Linked DNA regions of Astyanax mexicanus. The protein of the gene in region 1 interacts with the protein of each later gene in a biochemical or structural test. Links are inferred from orthologs where the notes say so. Each region holds a gene or a part of one and is shown on either strand. Other genes may lie near its edges.

Region 1 (11,456 bases):
AAAGACCAAACAGGAGCACGCAGTGTCACTGATGCAAAGCACCAGAAGCTATTTGATTGCTAATAGCACCCCCTTGTGGAGAATCTACAGTCTAACCGCCATGAATGAATGAATAAATGACTGAATAAGTGTGTGAGTGAATGAGTGAACTACAACCTCGACAAAGTCCAGAGGTTCTTTGCATCTAACAAGAACTTAACAGAACAACAGAAGCCATAATTCTGGTAAATTCTGGAATTTAATGCAGCCCTTTGGTGATCTCCATCATCAGAATGCCAAAAAAAAATCCGGCCGAGTCCATACACGTTCTGCCCGAGCCCGACCCAAACCCATCAAATAAACTATAATTTTGAGCCCAAGCCTGATTTAAACCCCACATTATTTTTAGTAAGTAGAGCGTTAAAACTGAGCTTTTTACAAACATTTTTGGGCTGTTTAAATGAGTGAAATCTGTTCAGAATGATGTTAGTTAACATTGCAACACTGAAGAAGCATAGACCTATTATTAAAGGTAAATAATTATTAAGAACAGATCTACGAAACATTAAAACACAGACGATGCGAACAATGACCCACAGGCCTAAACATCGGTAAATTAGGCTAAAAGGATGATGTCTGAATTACTTTTTTTTTCTAATCTAATATAATTTAACATGGTTTAAGAATATAAAATACTTTCTAAACAAACAAACTGTTTTATATTGAGCTTATAGTCTATGTCCAAAAACATAACATCATTTACAATGATTTTTACTCTAATCCAATATAATTTAACATGGTTTAAGTATATAAAATATTTTCTGGACAAATTATTATTATAATTTTTTAATCATATAGATTAAGTGCTAAAAACCCATATATATATATATATATATATATATAATGCTATATATAGTCTATATATAGCTTTGTGTAAAATAAAATAGCATTAAAAATACATTTTCTTGAGCCCGGTCCGATTTCGGGCATCAGCTCAGACTCGGGCAGAAAATCTAACCTCCACCAGACACCCTGTTGTAGTAGATTCATCATGTGTATTGATTATTAAGACGTTAATCTGATTATAACAGTCTATGACTTGCTGATATAAAAACATATTTTCTCAAAATTAAAAGAAAATGATTTTAAACTATTCTGGAACATATTTTAAGAGAAATAATAGAATAATAAAATAAAAGCTGAGGGAGGTGTGATGCCGCGGGTGCGTTCACTCTTTGCTCCCGAATGTTAACTTATCATAGTTTTGCCCTGTATTCTTCTGCCTCTCTCTGTTGTGTCCAGCTCTCCGTGTTAAAGGACCCGGACACGCTGGCGATGGGGAAACTGCACACGGGCGTCACGCTCACCTGCCTGCCTTCTCGTTTCTGCCTATTTTCGATTGAATGTACTTCTACAAGATTTGTACAGTGTGCCACTGTTGAGCTGCCTCCTCTTACTGGTGCTAAGAAAGCAAATTTTTCTTTTTTTTTTGTTTTGTTCTTCTTTCCCAGATATGACAAAAAAATGGAAAGGAAAAAAAGAGAAAATATAGAAACACAAAGCCCTAATCCTCTCTTTATGAATGTATAATATATGGTTATGTTTGATGTATTCACACCATAATTCTTTGACATTAATTGGGATTATTACTTTTTGCTTTTTTTGTTGAAAAGAGTATTGAGCTTTATAAATATTGTCTAGAGTTGATACCAGAGGGATTCTTAATGAACTCTTGACAAGACAAAAAATTACTGTATATTTTTCTCTGTGCCAATTTGTAACATATTTTGTAAGTGTATATTTTTCTTAGAAAGTGCTGTGAAGTATTAGTGTGTGTGAGTAACCTTTTTTGCGCCTCTGTAGGCAGTGAAAAGGATGTATAATGAAAAAGTTTCTGGTTTTAAAAACCAAACCATTAAGTAACACAAAAAAAAAAATCTACATTTTTGTTGGGAGTTTTGTACGAGAAAATTGACCTTGTTGTGGGAGTACTGTGTTCATGTGGAAAACACAAATAGGCAAACAAAGAAAAATGATGAAAAAAAAAACATTAAATTTGTGAACTACTTGCTGTTTTATAGATTTTTCATGTAAATTATTCTAGTATTATTTTGTTTATGTTGTAACTGTTGCAAAGGTTTTAAATATTTGTGAACCCGCCTGTATGGTGATAATGTAATATTGGTAATTTGCTGAGTTTTGTAATAATGTTTATGGAGTAAATATACAAATTAAAATGAGATTTTGAATGCTGCTTTTGGAAATTGTCAGTTTTGTTCTGTCACTGTTTCTCCTACTGTTTTACTGATTCAAAACTTCACTTTAAATGCATTGGGGAGGTGTTTTGGACTTAGGAGTAAACAAATATACTATATTTTGAAACTAGTTTACAATGTTTAAATACCATGTTTTATTACAACAAGCCAGAAAAATGAATATGGTATAATTATACATCACTGATTGGTGGAAACTTCACACTGGACCTCGAGCAGTTTGGACTGTGTGTCTCTCCACTCTTCCTCCAGACTCTGCTCCCTTGATTTACTAATGAAATGAATAAATGTAAATTTACTGATGATCAGTGATGGTTTGGACAGTCATGTCTGTCATCTGCTGGTGTTGATCCACTGTGTTTTATTATCAAGTCTAAAGTCAGTGCAGTTTTGTTTTCCCACAAAATTTACAACACTTCATGCTTCCCTCTGCTACTGACAACTTTTATGGAGATGCGGATTTTATTTTCCAGCAGGACTTGGCACACTGCCCACACAGCCAAAAGTACCAATCGGTCTTATATAATATTCTCATTTTCTGAGATACTGATTTTTGGGTTTTCATTGGCTGTAAGCCATAATCAACAATAATCATCAACAATAAAAAAACGCTTAAAATAGATCACTCTGTGTTTAATACATCTATATAATATATGAGTTTCACATTGTGAACTGAATTACTGAAATAAAGTAATAACTTTTCAATGATATTCTAATGTTTTGAGATGCACTAGTGTATCCCAGATGGTAAAGTAAAAGCACAGGGTAAGCTATAATACAGTGCTCCAGAAGGGGGTGATAAAGTTCCAGCAGCAGCACATCAGCAGGGCTGTGGGTATTGATCCTACAACTCTGATCAATATATAATAACCCAGTGCTCTAAACACCAAACCACCACAGATAATGAGAAAATATACATACTAATTTATTTATTTATTATTGAAAGTAAGTGAAAATGTAGCATACATAAGCAACTGATTTTACCTGAATGGACTACCTGATTAGTAAGTAAAATAAAGGGTCTAAAACCAGATAAAACTGATATCAAGATTATGAACACATAACACATAGCTCCAGTTTTCCAGACAGGGATTATGCCTAGTCTTGAGCCACAGCATTCTGAATATATATAGGTCTAATCCCTGTCTAAGAAACACACATATATATATATATATATATATATATTTTTTTTTTTCTTTTCTTTTTTTTTTTTACCTTACCTTAGATATTAACCTTATATATTAGGTAATGATAATGTCGGAACAATATCTGATTTTGCCGATTCTCGTCTATTTTAGCTAAGAAGAATATTTGAACTTTTATAAAACTATATAAAACAGGCTCTTAAATATAGGGTTATGTGAGTGAGCGCTTAATATACATTTCAGTTATCAAAATCTTAAAAATACGTACAGAATAAAATTATATATATATTATATATATAATAGACTATAAGCTTATTTCCTATTTATTCAGGGTCTCATTCATTTATTTGGCACAATCAATAATTAATAAAGGTAATGATCTATAATATCGGTCGGAAGAATATCTGATTTTGCCGATCAGTTACATCATAACTATCATATCTACTTTAGCTGACAAGAAGAGTTGAACATTTATAAAACTGTTCCTTTATTTATATAAAAATCTAGCACATTTATTACAAATTGTAGCACAGTTTAACTAGCTAATTAACAGGTGTAAAATAATATAAAGCTTTAATGAGCTTATTATATATATATATATATATATATATATATATATATATATATAGTTAAAATAAAATAAATAATTCTTAATAATTCTTGCCCGAGCAATTATATATAATTAACTATATATATAGTTATGAAAATCTTACAAGTGTGCGCAAAATAAAAAAAAGTATTTAGCTTTTTTTTTAAGCATTTTTAACATTTTTACAGCCTTTTAACAGCATTTTGGAGCATTTTTATGCATTTTTGAAGTATTTTAAGAGCAGTTTGCCTGTTTTCAGTAGGACTTTTATTACAAATTGTAGCACAGTTTAACTAGCTAATTAACAGGTGTAAAATAATATAAAGCTTTAATAAGCTGATATATATATAAAATAAATAATTCTTATTAATTCTTGCCCGAGCATATATATATATATATATATATATATATATATATATATATATATATATATATATATATATATATATATATATAGTTATGAAAATCTTACAAGTGTGCGCAGAATGAAAAAGGTATTTTGCTTTTTTTAAGCATTTTTAACATTTTTACAGCCTTTTAACAGCCTTTTGATGCATTTCTGAAGCATTTGTATGCATTTTTAAAGTATTTTAAGAGCAGTTTGCCTGTTTTCAGTAGGACTTTTATCTTGCCTTGTTTTTGACCGGAATCAAGGCTGTAGAGAACAGACGGGTTGAGAAACCAATGGTGGGGAGAACGGGTTTATAATACTTGGATAAAGAAGATCACGGTTACGTTTTATTAAATATATATCTACGGAGGACAGCACGGCGATCAGCAGAGGATATCAGCGGATCAGCTAGAACAGGTACGACCCTGCCGGTCACGGTAATCCACTTTAAAGATACGGGTTTACAAAGGTAACGTTAGCGTTAGCTCAAGATTAATATGCTAAGGCTAAGCTAAGCTATAGCTAAGCTTTGCTTTAAATGCGTTTCACCTTTACTGTTCTGGTGCGCTTAAAACGGCCAAGTTTTTTTGTTTTATTTTTATTTCAGAAAATAGCTGACTAACGTGTTAGTTAACCTGTTAAAGGAGCATTTGAATCCATTGTTATTTAGCTCACTTTCACTAACAGCTAGTTAATATTTGCTAGTTTCTAGTACAAAGCTAAAAACCCTTTAGCTAGCTAACGAGGCTAACAACTAGAGGTGGGTAACCCAGGTCCAGAAAGTAAAAATCCACCCAGGGTTTTGTACCAACTACCTGGGCGGCTCTACTACAGCTCGGCCAACAAAACCCTGGGTGGAATTTTACTCTCTTAACAACAGTTCTTAGAAAACGTCCATCTGTTCTCCTTTGACAATAACAATAAAACTCCGCTCCTGGATTTTGTTCCAGCTGCCTGATTGGCCCTCTGTGTTGCTCAACTGCTGCATACAGTTGGAACAAAATCCTGGAGCGGAGCTTTAATGTTCTGGACCGGGATTTACTGCTACCTTTAGAAACGTCTAAGATGGTTTAATTAGCTAGTTAGCTAGCTAGCGTTAGCTGTAGCTATAATGTAATCCACCCCGTACAAAATTACTAAAACTAACACGGTCTTTATATAGTTACATATTTAGCTAGTTAACGTTGTCTAAACGTTATGGTGTTCGTTATGGTGTGACAACAGAAATAAATAGTGATTTATTGTGTTTGTTACATATCTGTAGCTAAAATAGAGGGGTTGCTAGTCTAGGCTAGCGGAGTTAGCTACATGACGTTGGCCGGTGTCCTGTCGATTTGTGTTACCTTGTCAAAACATGTCACCGTTATGTATAAACTAGCTAACGTTACGGTTATAATTACAAATCAAGCAGTATACGCCTACATTTAATTTGGGATTAATAAAATATAATATAATCTAGCTGTTACTTTATTACAAGTATAGGATATAGCTAGATACAGCTATAGAAAAAAAAATAAGTCCACTTAATGATGAGTTTCTTTGATTTTACCAAATTGAAAACCTCTGGAATTTAATCAAGAGCAAGACCCAAAAGCAGTGTGCAAGACTGGTGGAGGAGAATATGCCAATTTGCATTAAAATTGTGATTAAAAACCAGGGTTATTCCACCAAATATTGATTTCTGAACTCTTAAAACTTTATGAATATGAGATTTGTTTTCTTTACATTATATGATCTGAAAGCTCTGCATCTTTTTTGTTGTTTCAGACATTTCTCATTTTCTGCAATTTTTTTCCAGAGCTGTATGCTCCTTTTAATACTCTCCTTGATATTTTCTATTTTATTACATTTTATTTTATTTTATATTATTTTAACAATGGCTCTTTTGGGTGTAACTGGACCACGAGAATACAATTTCGTTCCACCTCATGTAACTACCCCATGTGATGTGAAGGACAAGAAACTCTCATTGTGATAGCCCAAACACTAATTCTAATTATATCAGCGTAAATAATATTAAATCATATTTCTTATGATTAACCTATATATTCTGACCACCGATTTACTTTTATAATTAATCGATTAATTAACACACAAGCCAGTAATGGCTGTGGTCTAAAATGCACCCGAATAAAACAATATAATAATAATTATTATTATTCATAAAAATAACACTCGCACACGCATGAAAACATGTTGCACTGTGGTTCAGCGCATGCGCGTAGCGGCTCAGAAGCACATATCGATGAGCAGCACAATTCGACGGAACACCGCGTTACAGGCACAAGATGTTCTTGTAGGTTAGCTACCGGCCTAATTGGATCAACAATCTTCTTTAAACGGTTGCCTTTCTACTCTGCTCGGCTTATTTAGCGGTATGTAGACGGAAATCTGCTTTATGGAGCTAAAGTTTAACATTATCGGGCTGGATTAGCCTGTGTGTCGGCCTTCTCTCTCGATGCCATTTTGTTTTCTCTCCGTTTGGCGCAGTGCCTCACAATTAGTGTCCATTTTTGAAGCTGGTTAAATCCTAAAACACATTATAAAACATATATAGTAAATATAGCTAACTATCTGTCCTGCAGGTACACTTTACCGAATTGTCAGTCGGTTTAAAGAGTCCATAGAGGACAAACAAGTGACAAAACCTCAATGCTAATATGGCTAACTAGCTAAATCAGCTTTCAAACTGTAGGTAAGTTAACTGTAATATTTATGTTATATATTCTCAGTTATATTTTAGCTATCTTACACTTGCAGTGCAATACCTTATGCATATATGTCCATAGTGTGCTATTCTGTATATCGCTGGAAATAAGTTACTTTATTTCAGTAATTCAGTTAAAATGTGTTATGTAGATGTATTACACACAGAGTGATCTATTTTAAGCGTTTATTTGTTTTATCGTTGATGATTATTATGGCTTACAGCCAATAAAAACCCCAAAAATCAGTGTCTCTCAGAAAATTTGAATATTATATTATATTATAAGACCAACTGGTACTTTTGGTAGTGTGGGCAGTGTGCCAAGTCCTGCTGGAAAATGAAATCTGCATCTCCATAAAATTTGTTATCAGCAGAGGGAAGCTGTAAGATTTTGTGTGAAAACTAAACTGCACTGACTTTAGACTTGATAATAAAACACAGTGGATCAACACCAGCAGGTGACAGACATGACTCTGCAGACCATCACTGATTGGTGGAAACTTCACACTAGAACTCGAGCAGTTTGGACTGTGTGTCTCTCTACTCTTCCTCCAGACTCTGATCCCTTGATTTACTAATGAAATGTAACATTTACTGATGATCAGTGATGGTTTGTAGAGACATGTCATCTGCTGGATAATGTAGTGGAATAAAAACATTAATGATATTTTATGTCTATGTAATAGTACTGATACACAATTTTATACATGGAGCATTTATATAAGGTCTATTTCGCATTGTTTATACATTCAGAAAAAATATAAGTATTAGTGCATCTTTACACCCCTATTCTTTACAGTTTAGTTAAAATAAGTAATTTTTGTTATTCAAATCTGTTTAAAATATCATATATATTATAAAATCAAATCGCGAACAGAGTGTATCGTTACACCACTTGTTAGTATTTATTTATTAATGATGTTTTAAAACTATATCTTCCTACAAAAGAGCAGGCAGGCCTACAGAAGCTCAGCAATTACTGTAATGTGTTTTGTACAGCTTTCAGCTTAGGGATCATGAGTTCATTTCCTTTTCTAATTTGTAGGAACTTAAAATACCGTTTACAAGCTTTACACGTGCTGCTCTTTGTGCTTCTCTCGACAAGTGCCTTTGCAAGCTCTGTAAATCTTTGGTCCTCTGTCTCCAGGTGGTGCTGACAGTCGTTTTGGCTTTAACAGCCATGGAGAGCTCAGACAATGCAGAACAAGGGGGCAGCGAGCAGTCCGATTCACAACGCAGACAACAGCTGGACAGACTGGACAGAGAAGAGGCTTTCTACCAGTTCGTGAACAACCTGAGTGAGGAAGACTACAGGTTGATGAGAGACAACCATCTGCTCGGCACCCCAGGTAACTAAAATAAAGCTGGATTTATGATTATCTCTGTTAACGAAACTTGTTTTTGTTGTTGCTTAAATCATTTCTAATGTTAGCTGTCCTATAAAGTTTGATACGTTTTGTTTTGTGACCCAAAAAGGTGATTTAAGCAATTAAACACCTTCTTTTTCCATTGCAGCATGTTACTCTGTAGGTGGGAGAACTTTTGTGACTCACAGCGATTTATTATTTTTCCATCTTTTCCCACTGTATAGAACTAGCTAGGTGATGCAGAAATTAATATGCAAGGTTGACTGTCAGTCAGCTTGGCTAATTGTGCATTCCTCTCTGTGCACATTGATTACTTACGGCTTTCTTGAGATGTTCACCTCTCTGTATTGCGGTTATTTGAGATGATGGATACAGAGGATACTTTTTAATCATACAGCTCTGGAAAAAATGAAGAGACCACTTCAGTTTCTAAATCAATTTGTCTGATTTATTTCATAATTTATTCTATAAACTACGGACAACATTTCTACCAAGTTCCAAATAAAAATATTGTCATTTATAGCATTTATTAATTAATTAATAACAAAAAAGATGCAGAGCTTTCAGACCTCAAATAATGCAAAGCAAACAAGTTCATATTCATAAAGTTTTAAGAGTTCAGAAATAATCAATATTTGGTGGAATAACCCTGGTTTTTAATCACAGTTTGGGCATCATGTTCTCTTCCTCCACCAGTCTTACACACTGCTTTTGGATAACTTTATGCTGCTTTACTCCTGATGCAAAAAAGTTAAGCAGTTCAGTTTGGTGGTTTGATGGTTTGTGATCATCCATCTTCCTCTTGATTATATTCCAGATGTCTTTAAATTTGATAAAATTTAGGAGAAACATTATCATCAAGTGGTCTCTTATTGCTTTCCAGAGCTGTATATTGCTGCACTCAGAGTAATGGACAGTTACTTTCAGAGTACTTTATCTCTTTATCTAGTTTATTCCCCCTTTTAGAGAAATACGTGTTTTTGTGATTTTGTGGAGCTAAATGTTTTATGCGTTTTATGGATGGTTTGAATTTTGTTTAAGTACTTTAAAACAAAAACACCAAACAGTTGGACCTCTGAAGACGCCGATCCGTTTCTGTCCCGGGACAGTGGAAAGGAAAGGAAAGGTATTTTGGAGCATCATTAAGCGGAGGCCGCTGCCAGGAGATGACTTTGAGTGGACAGTTCTTGTCCTGGTAAGTCTGGTGGAATTCAGTATTGACCTGTTGCTGTTTCACAAGTTTCTCTGGGCAGCTGGTAAACAGCTCAAAAATGTTCAGTCATAAAATTCTGTATATTTTACTTTATGTTTTGAGAGCTGTAATTAGTTAGTGAAAAATGTTTGGTCCTAAAAAACAGGCTTAATAAATCAAATAAAAGGTCCATGTACTTCAGTCTGTTTAGGCTGTATAGTGGTTTTATACATTGTATGTCTTGTAATGATTAAAAAAATAATCCCTAAATATCACAATAAACAACTTTTGTTGAGCTAGTTTGGCGGGGGTTATTTATTTTTCATTTGTATTTTATTATTATTATTTTTTATTATTACTATAATTATGATTATAATTATTATTAGTAGTAGTAGTAGAAGTAGTAGTAGTTATAATAGTTTTCAAACAGGGTTAATAGCTTTTTTTTATTGGCCCAGCAATTACGCATAATCAGTTTTGTATATTTTGAATATTAAGTTATTAATTACTGTTTATGATGTGATCAATTTTGACATTTGCTTGCCTACATTGATCTTTATTTTTATTTATTTATTTATTTAACTTCTAGCTAGAGAATGTATGTAGTACTGTATATGCAACATTTTAGCTGTTTATAATCCTGCGTACTAAATGTAGACTTTTACTTTTTAGTATTGTCCATGTGTTGAGTTTGTAAATAAAGATTTCATGCTGATTTAAAATTTCTCTCTTTTTAATTATGTTTTGTTATTTTATTTCGGCCGCATGAGAATTCACGAATCGGACATCATCTCAGCTTCAGCAGCGACTTCAGCTTCATCTGTCTTCAGCCTCGGCTATAAAACCAGCACCTGGTCTTAAACTGTACAAGTCGTGAGAGAAGCCCTGCTTTGAGTCCGTCACAAAAAGATCAATATTTTAACTGTCTATATCTTTTTTTCTTTTATTAGGCGAGCTCACTGAAGAAGAGTTGTCGAACCGCCTTCAGCAAATCAAAGATGGCCCTGAGCAGCCACACAATGAAGGCAGTGGCAGCGGCAGCAACAGTGGCAGCAGCAGCAGCAGCAGCAGCAACAACAGCCCTGAAAGCAGTAGTGAACAGCCCAGAGGTACGCTGGCCTTGGTTACACATACGAGATTTGCTGCTTGTTTTATATTCTTTGGAATATCAGATCGTTAAAGTTGTTGTTTTCTTCAGTTCCAGATCAACAAGAAGAAGCATCCAATGGAGACACTCTTCTAGACTGGCTCAACACTGTGCGCCAGACGGGCAACACCACAAGAAGTGGCCACCGGGGGAACCAGTCGTGGCGGGCGGTGAGCCGAACCAACCCAAGCAGCGGAGATTTCCGTTTCAGCTTGGAGATCAACGTCAACCGCAACATAGCCGAGCAGCAAACGCAGACTGAAGCCGAGCGGCTGGAAGGAGACCAGGTCTCTCCAGATGCTGCTGTTTCTGAGGCTGAGCCGCCGATGGAGACGGCTGAGGTGGTGGAGGAACCTGTTGTTGAAGAAATGGCTGTTATAGTCGAGCCTGAGCCGCCTGTCCCTGAGGTCCCTGAGGTCCCTGAGGTCCCTGAGGTTCCTGAGGTCCCTGAGGTCCCTGAGGTTCCAGCTGCAACCAGCCCACCAAGCCCTCCGTGCCCACCAAGTCCTCCTAGTCCTCCTAGCCCACAGAATCAGGTTTCACCTCCACCACCACCACCTCCTCCTCCACCTCCTCCTCCACCTCCTGCTCCTGCTCCAAGTGTAACCCCAGTAGAGCCCACCGTGCCTCCACGTAGAGGCCAGATTAGAGCACGAAGCCCAAGCC
Region 2 (11,454 bases), on another chromosome or scaffold:
TCTGAGACTTACCAGAGACAAATCAACCATAAACTAACAAATTAAAGGCTAACCAACCAGAGGCTAACCAGAGACTAACCAACCATAAACTTTCCAATTAAAGGATAACTATACCAGAATAATAACCAATCAGCATCTAACCAGATACTAACCAATCATAACAACCAGTTTAAGGCTAAGAAACCAACTATTTGATCCCAGACTACCCAGACTTTTACCAACCAAAGACTAAACAATCAGAGGCTAACCAACCATAATATAACCAATTTAGGGCTAACCAATCAAAGATTAACCAATAAGAGATATACAAACCAAAGGCTAACCAATCAGAGACTAAGCAGAGACAAACCAACCATACACTAACCAATTAAAGACTAACCAATCAGAGACTAAGCAGAGATTATCCAACCATACACTAACCAATTAAAGGCTAACCAATCGGAGACTAAGCAGAGACAAACCAACCATACACTAACCAACCAAAGGCTTACCAATCATAGATTAACCAAATTGAATCAGAGATTAATGAACCATAATATAACCTGAGACTGACCAACCATAGATTAACCAGTCTGAAACTAACCAACCAATCAGAGATTAAGCATTTATGGATTATGGTTGGTTCACCTTTGACTAGTTAACCTCTGGTTGGGTAGTCTCTGATTGGTTATCCTGTGACTTGATTGCCTCTGTATGATAGTCTGTTGATAGTCTCTATTAGCCACCGATTGATTAGTACATGATTGGTTAGCCTTTGATTGTTATTACTTGATTATTACTTCTGATTGGTCCCTGTAATCCATAAACATGTGGCTTGTTAGCCTCTGATTGGATAGTTATGGTTAATTAGCTGGATAATGAACTATCAGAGACTAAACAATTATTTAATTGTTTATTATTCATGTAGACATAAACAGTATCTGCCTTAGGAATACTACAGATTCCACTGAGAATAAAAACCAGACCACCACCAACCCCCACCAGAGTCATCCTCCCACACACACACACACACACACACACACACACACACACACACACACTCAGCCCACTCAAACATTAATATTCATAGCACTTAAACTCAGAGTCATTTAAAAAAGTGGGAACGCTCCTCCAGGATAATGCAGCGGTTTGATCTGCCGGACCCTCAGCACAAAAGCCGGAAGTGTGGAGGGTCTCTCGGCCGCGAGAGGATGCTCCGTTGTTTCGGTGTGTGTGTGTGTGTGTGTGTGTGTGTGTGTGTCGTGTACAGCCTGGCCTTTGTTGAAGGCATTTAAGGCCTGATTGAGATGGAACAGTGGAGTGGGGGTCTCAGGTGTGCTAACACTTCACCAATCTACACAAATGAAGAGAGGATCAGAGACAGAGAGAGAAAAAGAGAGAGAGTACACTGAGAGATAGAGTAGATATAGTGAAAAGCACAAGTTTCTATTTATTTCTTATATTATATAAATGTATATAGACATAATCTTTCATTCTACTTTATAGTAGCTATTGCTATTTTTATTCTCCTAAAACATAGAATGTATTTTTTCTACACTCTAACTCAAAGGAGATGGCCAGAAGGTAACATAGACATAAAGGTATAATCTTCCATGCTACGTTATATCATTGCTATTTTTATTGATATACTATATAGATATATTGTAATATCTATAAAGACTTCCCTTATAGAACGCCAATCACAATGCAGGGTCGGAACTAACTGTGATATAACCTGTGTTGTTATTGTTTTGATGGTGCTTTGGTAATACTGTTTGTTTTAAATATGGTTATATCAATAAAGCCTACTGAACTGAAAACAGCAATAGAAAGAGTGAAATAAGAGAGAGAGAGAGAGAGAGAGAGAGAGAGAGAGAGAGAGAGAGAGAGCATGGGCCAAAGAAAGGAGAAAGAGAGACAGGTAGAGTGAGAGAAAGAAAAAGAAACAAAAACCCAGGGGCAGGTAGAGAAATTGTCAGTAAAGCAAATAAATATAGTCTGAGAGAAAAAGCAGAGATAAAGAAAGAGAGAGTAAGACGTGATAGAGGAAAGAGAGAGTGTGAGAGAGAGAGAGAGAAAGAGGGGGTAAGAAGAGAGAGAAAGAGAAAGTGAGAGGTTGAGAGAGTAAGACACTATTCTAATGTTATATGGTGTTAACACTATTATAATGTTATATATAGTTAATTACGGGTATGCACTATTCTAATGTTATATATAGTTAATTACGGGTATGCACTATTCTAATGTTATATATAGTTAATTACAGATATGCACTATTCTAATGTTATATATAGTTAATTACAGATATGCACTATTATAATGTTATATATACTTAATTACAGGTATGCACTATTCTAATGTTATATATAGTTAATTACAGGTATGCACTATTCTAATGTAATATATAGAGTTAATTACAGGTATGCACTATTATAATGTTATATATAGTTAATTACAGGTATGCACTATTCTAATGTTATATATAGTTAATTACAGATATGCACTATTCTAATGTTATATATAGTTAATTACAGGTATGCACTATTCTAATGTTATATATAGTTAATTACAGGTATGCACTATTTTAACATTATATATAGAGTTAATTAAAGGTATGCACTATTCTAATATTATATATAGTTAATTACAGGTATGCACTATTCTAATGTTATATATAGAGTTAATTACAGGTATGCACTATTCTAATGTTATATATAGTTAATTACAGGTATGCACTATTCTAATGTTATATGTAAGGTTAATTGCAGGTATGCACTATTATAATATTATATATAGTTAATTACAGGTATGCACTATTCTAATGTAATATATAGAGTTAATTACAGGTATGCACTATTATAATGTTATATATAGTTAATTACAGGTATGCACTATTCTAATGTTATATATAGTTAATTACAGATATGCACTATTCTAATGTTATATATAGTTAATTACAGGTATGCACTATTCTAATGTTATATATAGTTAATTACAGGTATGCACTATTTTAACATTATATATAGAGTTAATTAAAGGTATGCACTATTCTAATATTATATATAGTTAATTACAGGTATGCACTATTCTAATGTTATATATAGAGTTAATTACAGGTATGCACTATTCTAATGTTATATATAGTTAATTACAGGTATGCACTATTCTAATGTTATATGTAAGGTTAATTACAGTTATGCACTATTCTAATGTTATATATACTTAATTACAGGTATGCACTATTCAAATGTTATATAGAGTTATTTACAGGTATGCACTAATGTAATATATAAAGTTAATTACAGGTATGCACTATTCTAATGTTATATAGAGTTCATTTCAGTTATGCATTATTCTAATGTTATATAGAGTTAATTACAGGTAGACACTATTCTAATGTTAGAGTTAAATACAGGTATGCACTATTCTAAAATAAGAGAAAGAAAGAAAAAGAAAGGAGGGAGGAGAAAAGGGAAAGAGAGAGGTAGAGTGAGAGAAAGAAAGAAATAAAGACCCAGGGGCAGGAAGAGAAATCGACAGTAAAGAGAAGAAATATACAGTTAGAGGGAAAAGGCAGAGAGAAACACAGAGAAAGTAAAAAGAGAGAGAGAGAAAAGAGGGGTTATAGGAAGAAAGAAAGAGAAAGACAGAGTGAGAGGTTGAGAAAGTGAAAGAGGGAAAGAGGAAAGAGATGGGAATACGTCTACAAATACAATAATAATAATAATAATAATAATAATAATAATAATAATAATAATAATAATAATAATAATAATAATAATAATAATAACCTTGTGTTACAGGAATACTGTATTATTGTGAGCCAAACAACCCTGACAAATAAAATACAAAAATCTCTCTAAAAAAACAAACAAACAAAAAAAACGAACAAACAATCAAATAAACAAACAAACAAACAAAACAGACAGACAGTGAAGATGGGAGATGGGCTCTGGCTGTATTGTTGTGTTTGTTCTAAAGCTCCTTTAAGACTGTCGGATTCTAATCTGAATAAAGAGATCAGACTCTGACTTACTGACAGGATTTACACAGCAAACAACAGAGAGAGAGAGAGAGAGAGAGAGACAGACACAGAGAGAGAGAGACAGAGAGAGAGAGAGCATCTCTTTCATTGTTATTGTCATTATTACAATGTTATAATGAGATAGATAGATAGATAGATAGATAGATAGATAGATAGATAGATAGATAGATAGATAGATAGATAGATAGATAGATAGATAGATAGATAGATAGAACTGTATGTGAATTAATATTTAAAAATAAAATAAAAAATACAAATTAAGATAAATAAAATAACAAAAAATGCAAAAACAAAATCAATTCTATATTCTAAACTGAATAATATACTGGTGGCTTCAGTAATATTTTAGTCCTTTATTTGTATTTTATATGCTAATACATTGTAGCGGTCCAACAAAAATATATCACCTTTATTATGTGTTTTTATGTTATATAGAGTTAATTACAGGTAGACATTTTTTTTTTGGTTCTATAAAGGAAATTGCAGGCACACTATTCTAAAGTTATATAGAGTTCATTATAGGTATACACTACTCTAATGTTATACAGGGTGTTTAAATGTAGACACTGTTTAAATGTTATATAGAGTTCATTACAGGTATACACTTTTCTAATGTTATACAGGGTATTTAAATGTAGACACTATTTTAATGTTGTATAGAGTTAATTACAGGTATACACTATTTTAATGTCATATAGTGTTAGTTACAGGTTGGTACTCTCCTAATGTTATATAGACTTAATTACAATTAGACATTCTCCCTGAACACTGACCTCATGTTTATTTCGGTTTATTCTAATGTTATATAGAGTTAATTACAGATAGAATTTGGGTTCATTCTTATGTTGTTCTATACTAATGCTATATATATTTAATGACAGGTACACACTATACTAATGTTATATAGAGTTAATTGTTGGTAGATACTATTTTAATGTTATGTTGAGTTAATAGACACCATTTTAATATTATATAGAGTTAATTACATGTAGACACTATTCTAATGTTATATAGACTAATTACAGGTAGACATTCTCCCAGAACACTGACCTCATGCTTATCTCAGTTTATTCTAATGTTTTATGGACTTAATTACAGATAGACATTCTCACTGAACACTGACCCCATTTATTTGCGTTTATTCTAATGTTATATAGAGTTAATTACAGCTAGAATTTGGGTTCACTCTCGTGTAGTAATTAAGTGTATACACTATTCTGATGTTATATAGACTTAATTACAGATAGACATTCTCACTGAACACTAACCTCATGTTCATTTTGATTTATATACGTTATATAGAGTTAATTACAGATGTAATTTGGGTTCATTCTAATGTTGTTTAGATGTAGACAATGTTCTAATGTTATATAGAGTAATATATAGTTAATTACAGGTATAAGCTATTTTAATTTTATATATATTTAATTCCTCGTAGATACTATTTTAATGTTATGTAGAGTTAATTACATGTAGACATTATTTTAAGCTTATGTTGAGCTCATTACAGGTAGACATTCACACTGAACCACTGACCTTATATGTATTCAGATGTTTGGTTAATTGTAATGTTATATAGTTTTAAGGTTATACACATTCTCTCATTTTTTTTAACAGCAAAAACAAAACAAACCAGTGGCAGATTGTGACGCAATGACGCCACGCCCAGTCGGGACATTATACTGGGATGAATGATGGGCACGTGCAACAGCAGTGGGGTGGGTGCATATATGTATGGGGTGGGGGGTGATGGGCTATGGGGGGGTTGTTAACGTCTGCAGCACGCGCCTCCACAAAACTCCCCTTCAGCACCGTGGACAGGGACACACGCCTGTCGCGCGCGAGACACAACGCGCACACACACTCACGCGCGCACACACAAACACACACACATACACGGTGTAACCTCTTGCAGCCGCAGAAGCATCATCAGCAGACGCGCGCGCGCACGCACGATCCTCCTCCTCCTGCTGCTTTTTTTTTTTTCCTTGCACAAACACGAGCGCGCAGCCGGAGCTCGTGCCATTTGCAAAACTTCCAGCGCGCACACACACTCTCGCACTTACACTTACGTTTTTACACAGAGCTCGAGGAGTGTTCGGTGTGTCATAAGGGGTGTCATCTCGTTATCTTGTGCACGTCGCGAGCGCTTTGGATTCAGAGTGACCGATTTTTTTTGCTACTTTATTTATTTATTTATTTACTTATTTGTTTTATTTATTTCTTTGTGACATATTTGCCACCAAAATGTTGCTCGAGCATCCCGGATCGAGTTGCCAGAACGCGGGAAATTACTCCAGGTACAGCGCGAGCCAAGGTAAGCGCACATGTTTTTTTTTTTTTTTTATCTTTTCTATGCGGAAAAAACAAGGTTGCACGCGCCAATTTGTTGCGCATTGAAGTGCCTATAGAACTAACGGCAGACAGAGAGAGTGTGTGTGTGTGTGGAGTGTGTGTGAGAGGAGTGCGTAGTATATTATGTTAATTCGTGCCAGTCGATTAAAAAGTTTGTGTTAATATTGATTTAATATATATTAGTGATTTGATATTCGGCAGCGATAGCTCATGATTAATCACGATTAATTGCGCTTAAAATGCGCATACTTGCTTATATTTTTTGATTGAAAGAACAAAACAAAACGAAAAACAAAAAATGTGTAGTGTTACAAACTGAGGAAGTAAACTTTTACGAATATTTTAGGTTTTGTTAGAAATATCGGTCATTTTTTTTCGTGCAAAATTATGCGCATGGAAGATTTTATAGAATTGACGCTATAAGAGCGTGTGAGGAGTGTGTATGTGTGTGTGTGTGTGTGTGTGTGTGTGTGAGAGAGAGAGCGGAGTGGACGCGGGGTGCACTATAAAGTGTGGTGCATATTGTGTTTTATAGTGGTGTCAATCTATTGCAAAACTTAATATTCTGTCATTTAATATATTTGCTGAAAATATTCTCAATGAATCACGATTAATCGCAGTTTAAATCATCTTGATTCCTCTTACAAATAACCGTAGTGTTACAAACTGGATAGAGTTAACTTTTTACATTTATTAGAATGTCTAAGTATTCTTTGTTTGGTTATTGTTTAATTATAGTCGATTATTCGGTGGCATAAATGTTTAACGGATAAAACAGACGCTTTAATGAAGCCGAAAACGCTTCGCACCGAACCGTTAAAGCGCGGGTGCAGGTGTCCCGCTGTGCGATCGCGCGTTACGCACCTGTTACCCGCAGGCTTTCTACTAAACCGATACAGTCCTTTATCCGAGCTTTTCGCTCACTTTCGAAGCACTTATGGCGCTTTGACGTGTCTGATCTTCGAATCGGCGCGCAGTACGACTTGATGGATCTTCATCAGTACACTGCAAAAAACGATTCTTGAGCCCAGTAAACTTTGCTCATTAATATGAGAAGATTTTACCTAAAATTATACTTTTTGAACTATGCTTAATTAAAACAGTATGTACAACCCAATATTTTGTGTGTTTATTTTGTTTAGAAATTTGGAGAAATATTGCATGAATATTTGAGTAAAATCAACATGATTTGAGCCCAGTGATGTTTGCTCATTATAATGAGAAGATTTTACCTAAAATTATACTTTTCGAACTTTGCTTAATTACAAAAATAAGTACAACCCAATAGTTTTAGTGTGTATTATGTTAAGATTTTGTTACGCCTAACTAAATATTTTAAGGCTGCTTGGGAGACCACGAGGCACTGATACAAGTACTTATCTCCACTGATGAAGAACTTTTGGAAGGCAGCGAGCATGGACTGCATGGGTAAGAGCACAGTGACTGATTATTTTTGAGATATTTACAGTTGTGAGTTATCTGTGTAGTTTAAGTTCGTTTTAGAAACACGGTGCTTCAGTGAACTATGTTGGCCTGCAGCTATAGGCAAGCATCAAACCGAAAGAAAGGGCAAATGTAGCTAGCTAGCACGTAGGCTAACTACCCGGGTGGCTAATCCGGCACTGGGCGCGTACAAACCGGGCTGGGCCGTCATGCTAACACCGCATTAGCGACCCCGGTGAGTAGACCAGAGTCGGTCTAGCTGGCTTAATCAACTTATTTTTAGCGTGCCGTAATGCTAACACCGCGTTAGCGTGCTGTAATGCTAACACAGCGTTAGCGTGCTGTAATGCTAACACAGCGTTAGCGTGCTATAATGCTTACACCGCGTTAGCGTGCACCGCATTAGAGACCCCGGTGAGTAACGCCAGATCAGAGTCGGTCTAGCTGGCTAATCAAAGTATTGTTCGCGTGCTATAAGGCTAACGCATGTTAGCTACAATGATTGGTCACTTCAACCCCTTTTTTACATTCTCCTTTTCACTGAGCAGCTTGGTGCACTTAGTTCTATAATTATCAGTGTTGGGAATAACAGCGTTATAAGTAACGGCGTTAGGTAACGACGTAATTTTGTCAGTAACGGGATAAAATAATTAATTACTTTTCCTGTCGTTACAACGCCGTTGACGTTACTGGTGATTAAAAGCAGTGCGTTACTATATAATGATATAATAACAGTAATTCGAGCGGACCCCTGCCCAGGCTAGTGAGTAGTAACAGGTGTTTCACCATGAACTGTGACCTATAGAGATCTGTGACTCCAGGTCTAAACAGGTGACAGTTCTCGGTGTAACACCTGTTGAACTTGACACGCTCTTAACACGCCCTGGCCCGACGGCGGGCCAGATAAATATAATAATTAATATCTGGCTGTGTTTATGAATAATTACAGGCTCAATATATCAATGACAGCCTGCTGACTCTCAGGATTACGGAGCTGCAAACCGTTTTACTGTCGGATGTACGGTTCCTGAATAAGAGTGCGTTAGACGGTTCGGTCTGTGAACACGCTCTTTGATCCGCCTGGGGTTACTACAGGACACCCCTCACACGCAAACAGAGAATATCAGCGCGTACCTCAGAGTCCGGGCTTCAGAACCCCTCCAAACATCTCAACATCCATCAGTCCAGTCTCCAGTAATCCTCATATCCGAGCACTGCTTTTAGAAAAAAATATTATCAACTTTAACGGTTTATTTTAGGAGTTTCTCTTTGTTCTACAGCGATAAACTGCGCATGCGCGTTTCCATGGGCTTCAGCCTGAGAAAAAAAAGAGGTCTGGGGTCAGCCAATCAGGTGGCGAGTTATGCGGGACAGAGGTGGTAGCCAATCAGAGCCAGTGTTTTTACACGTGTGCCGAAGCACACCTGTGACACTCTCTGTAACTGTTTACTTTTTGCTTTTGCTTTTTTTTATATAAAAAAATGTTTTTTTTAAAGGATTTTATTCTGCTCTATTCTGATGTGCAATAAATATAAAAAGTTATGTACAAACACCTTTCTGATCTACTTATTTCAACTGACTGTAAAAATGCTTTTTTTTCAGTAATTGGCCTGCAGGTTAGGGAGACAAAGGGATAAAATATTATTTTTGTTTCTACACTGTTTTACAGAGTTTTTGCAGATGAGCATAAAACACATGTATTTCTATAATTACAGACTGTTTGTTAAAAAAAAATGGAGTTCATTTGAAATGGTCTAAGACTTTTTTTTAACTGCTTTTAAATATTTAATGTTCAGCTGCTCAACCTGCTGTCTTGCTCATGTTCATCTTACAATATTAAGTTAAGTTAATATTAAGTTTATTCACTGGACAAAGACATTTTTTTATGTGAAGGCGTAAAGTGATTTTTTTTGTACTGTCAGTATTAAGACTTTTTGAAAAAAGGACAAAAAAACTTTTCTTAGTTTTATTTAAGAATATGGTGCAACATTTTTGCAAACGTATTATTAAGTATTGCCAGTTTAAGATTTTTGTTAAAAATTAGTAAAAAAATATTTGTTGGTTCTACGTAAAAATATGGTGCAACATTTTTGCAACCTTATTATTAAGTAATGTCAGTTTAAGATTTTAGTTAAAAATGACTAAAAAATATTTGTTGGTTCTACGTAAAAATATGGTGCAACATTTTTGCAACCTTATTTTTAAGTAATTTCACTGTAATTTTTTTTGTAAAAATGACGAAAAATGTTTCTATGGGTTTACGTAAAAACATAGTGCAACATTTTTGCAAGCAAATTATTAAGTAATATCAGTTTAATATTTTAATTAAAAGTTATCAAAAAAGATTTGTGGGTAACACTTAAAAACAAGCTTGCAAAAACGTTGCACTATATTTTTAAGTAAAACCAGCACATCATTTTTTACAGTGTAGTCTTCCCCTTTTATCTCCAGATAAAAGAGTATGCTTGTAAGAGCTCTGTGCGATGAGATTCGTTTCCATGTTTTCCATGCACCGCGCGAGGAGGAGAGTTGAAGTGTCAAGTTTCTGAGCGCGCGCGGTGCACCTGCTGCTCCTGCGGGAGAACGGAGCATTGGTGATAAATATTAAAGAGCACGCCACGCGCTTTGTTTTTTTTTTTTGTTGTTTAGTTTTTTTTTTTTTGCACAAAAAAGGCCGTAAAGTTGTGCACAAAATACGCGTTTGCTGGAATTTATATTTTCGCAATAAACATTGCATAACGTTTCTTTCCCTGAAGGTTCCTTTCCTGTTCTTCCTGTACAAATTAATTTTAGTTAGTTAGGGCCTAAAACGGCGTGTAGACCTTTGCGTGTAGACTATTTAAAAGGGTTTGCGTAATTGTTAAAAAAAAAAAAAAAAGATAAACATTTGAAGGTGTACTAAAAACTTTACAAAATGTGAAATACATGAAACCCCCGCATTAACGTGGTATCCGAGAAGAAAAATGGAAAAAACATTTAAAATACCCCTCAAGCTCTCAAACGCTTGGAACCGACAATATAAAAACCCCAAAACATTAAAATGTCAAAACTGACATTCATAAAGCAAAAAATAATGCATTACAAAGAGAATACCAACAAAATATTAGAAACATAATTTGGTTAAAAATAATCAACCGTTTATAAACAAACAAAAACGGACAATTAAAAACATGACATGAAACTGCATTTACAACATTTACAATCTCAACATCCCAACATCTCTATTTAAAATGCTGCATAGTCCAAGACTGTGCTTAATCCGTGTCTGGAAAACTTTTTGTTTTTTATTTTTATTATTTAGCAATTTTAAATCAACGAGTAAAGAAAATAAAAGCACATTTTCAAAAGCTCATAAACGATGTTTCACACGTGTAGAACAGGATCGGGATTTAGGGTAAGTACCATTAAAAAAAATAATAAAACATTATAATATTCGTTATTAATCATGAATAATTACAGTTTAAATCCTTACAAACTGGATAGAGAATAAAAAGAAACAAAATTAAAACATTAAAACATTAGAAATATATATATACCTCTCTACACACTGTATATACAGTATAATACCAGAGTGTACAACTTTAGAGTTCCAGAGTCGCGCGGCTCCTTGAAGATGCGCTGTTAGTGTGTTT

What was found.
Region 2: the proteins of rlim (region 1) and lhx3 form a complex in vitro, tested with the Homo sapiens proteins (2 studies listed by BioGRID). The link is inferred for Astyanax mexicanus from reciprocal best matches to the Homo sapiens genes RLIM and LHX3.

What each region holds. Positions count from the first base shown.
Region 1 is NC_064417.1:1,610,805-1,622,260, forward strand, and holds the start of rlim (E3 ubiquitin-protein ligase RLIM), read left to right. Parts: upstream 1-4,621; 5' UTR 4,622-4,794; intron 4,795-6,603; exon of another isoform or gene 6,604-6,752; intron 6,753-8,231; 5' UTR 8,232-8,264; coding exon 8,265-8,433; intron 8,434-10,593; coding exon 10,594-10,752; intron 10,753-10,841; coding exon 10,842-11,456. UniProt on the Homo sapiens protein: E3 ubiquitin-protein ligase.
Region 2 is NC_064408.1:4,060,571-4,072,024, reverse strand, and holds the start of lhx3 (LIM/homeobox protein Lhx3), read left to right. Parts: upstream 1-5,813; 5' UTR 5,814-6,271; coding exon 6,272-6,341; intron 6,342-11,454. UniProt on the Homo sapiens protein: Transcription factor.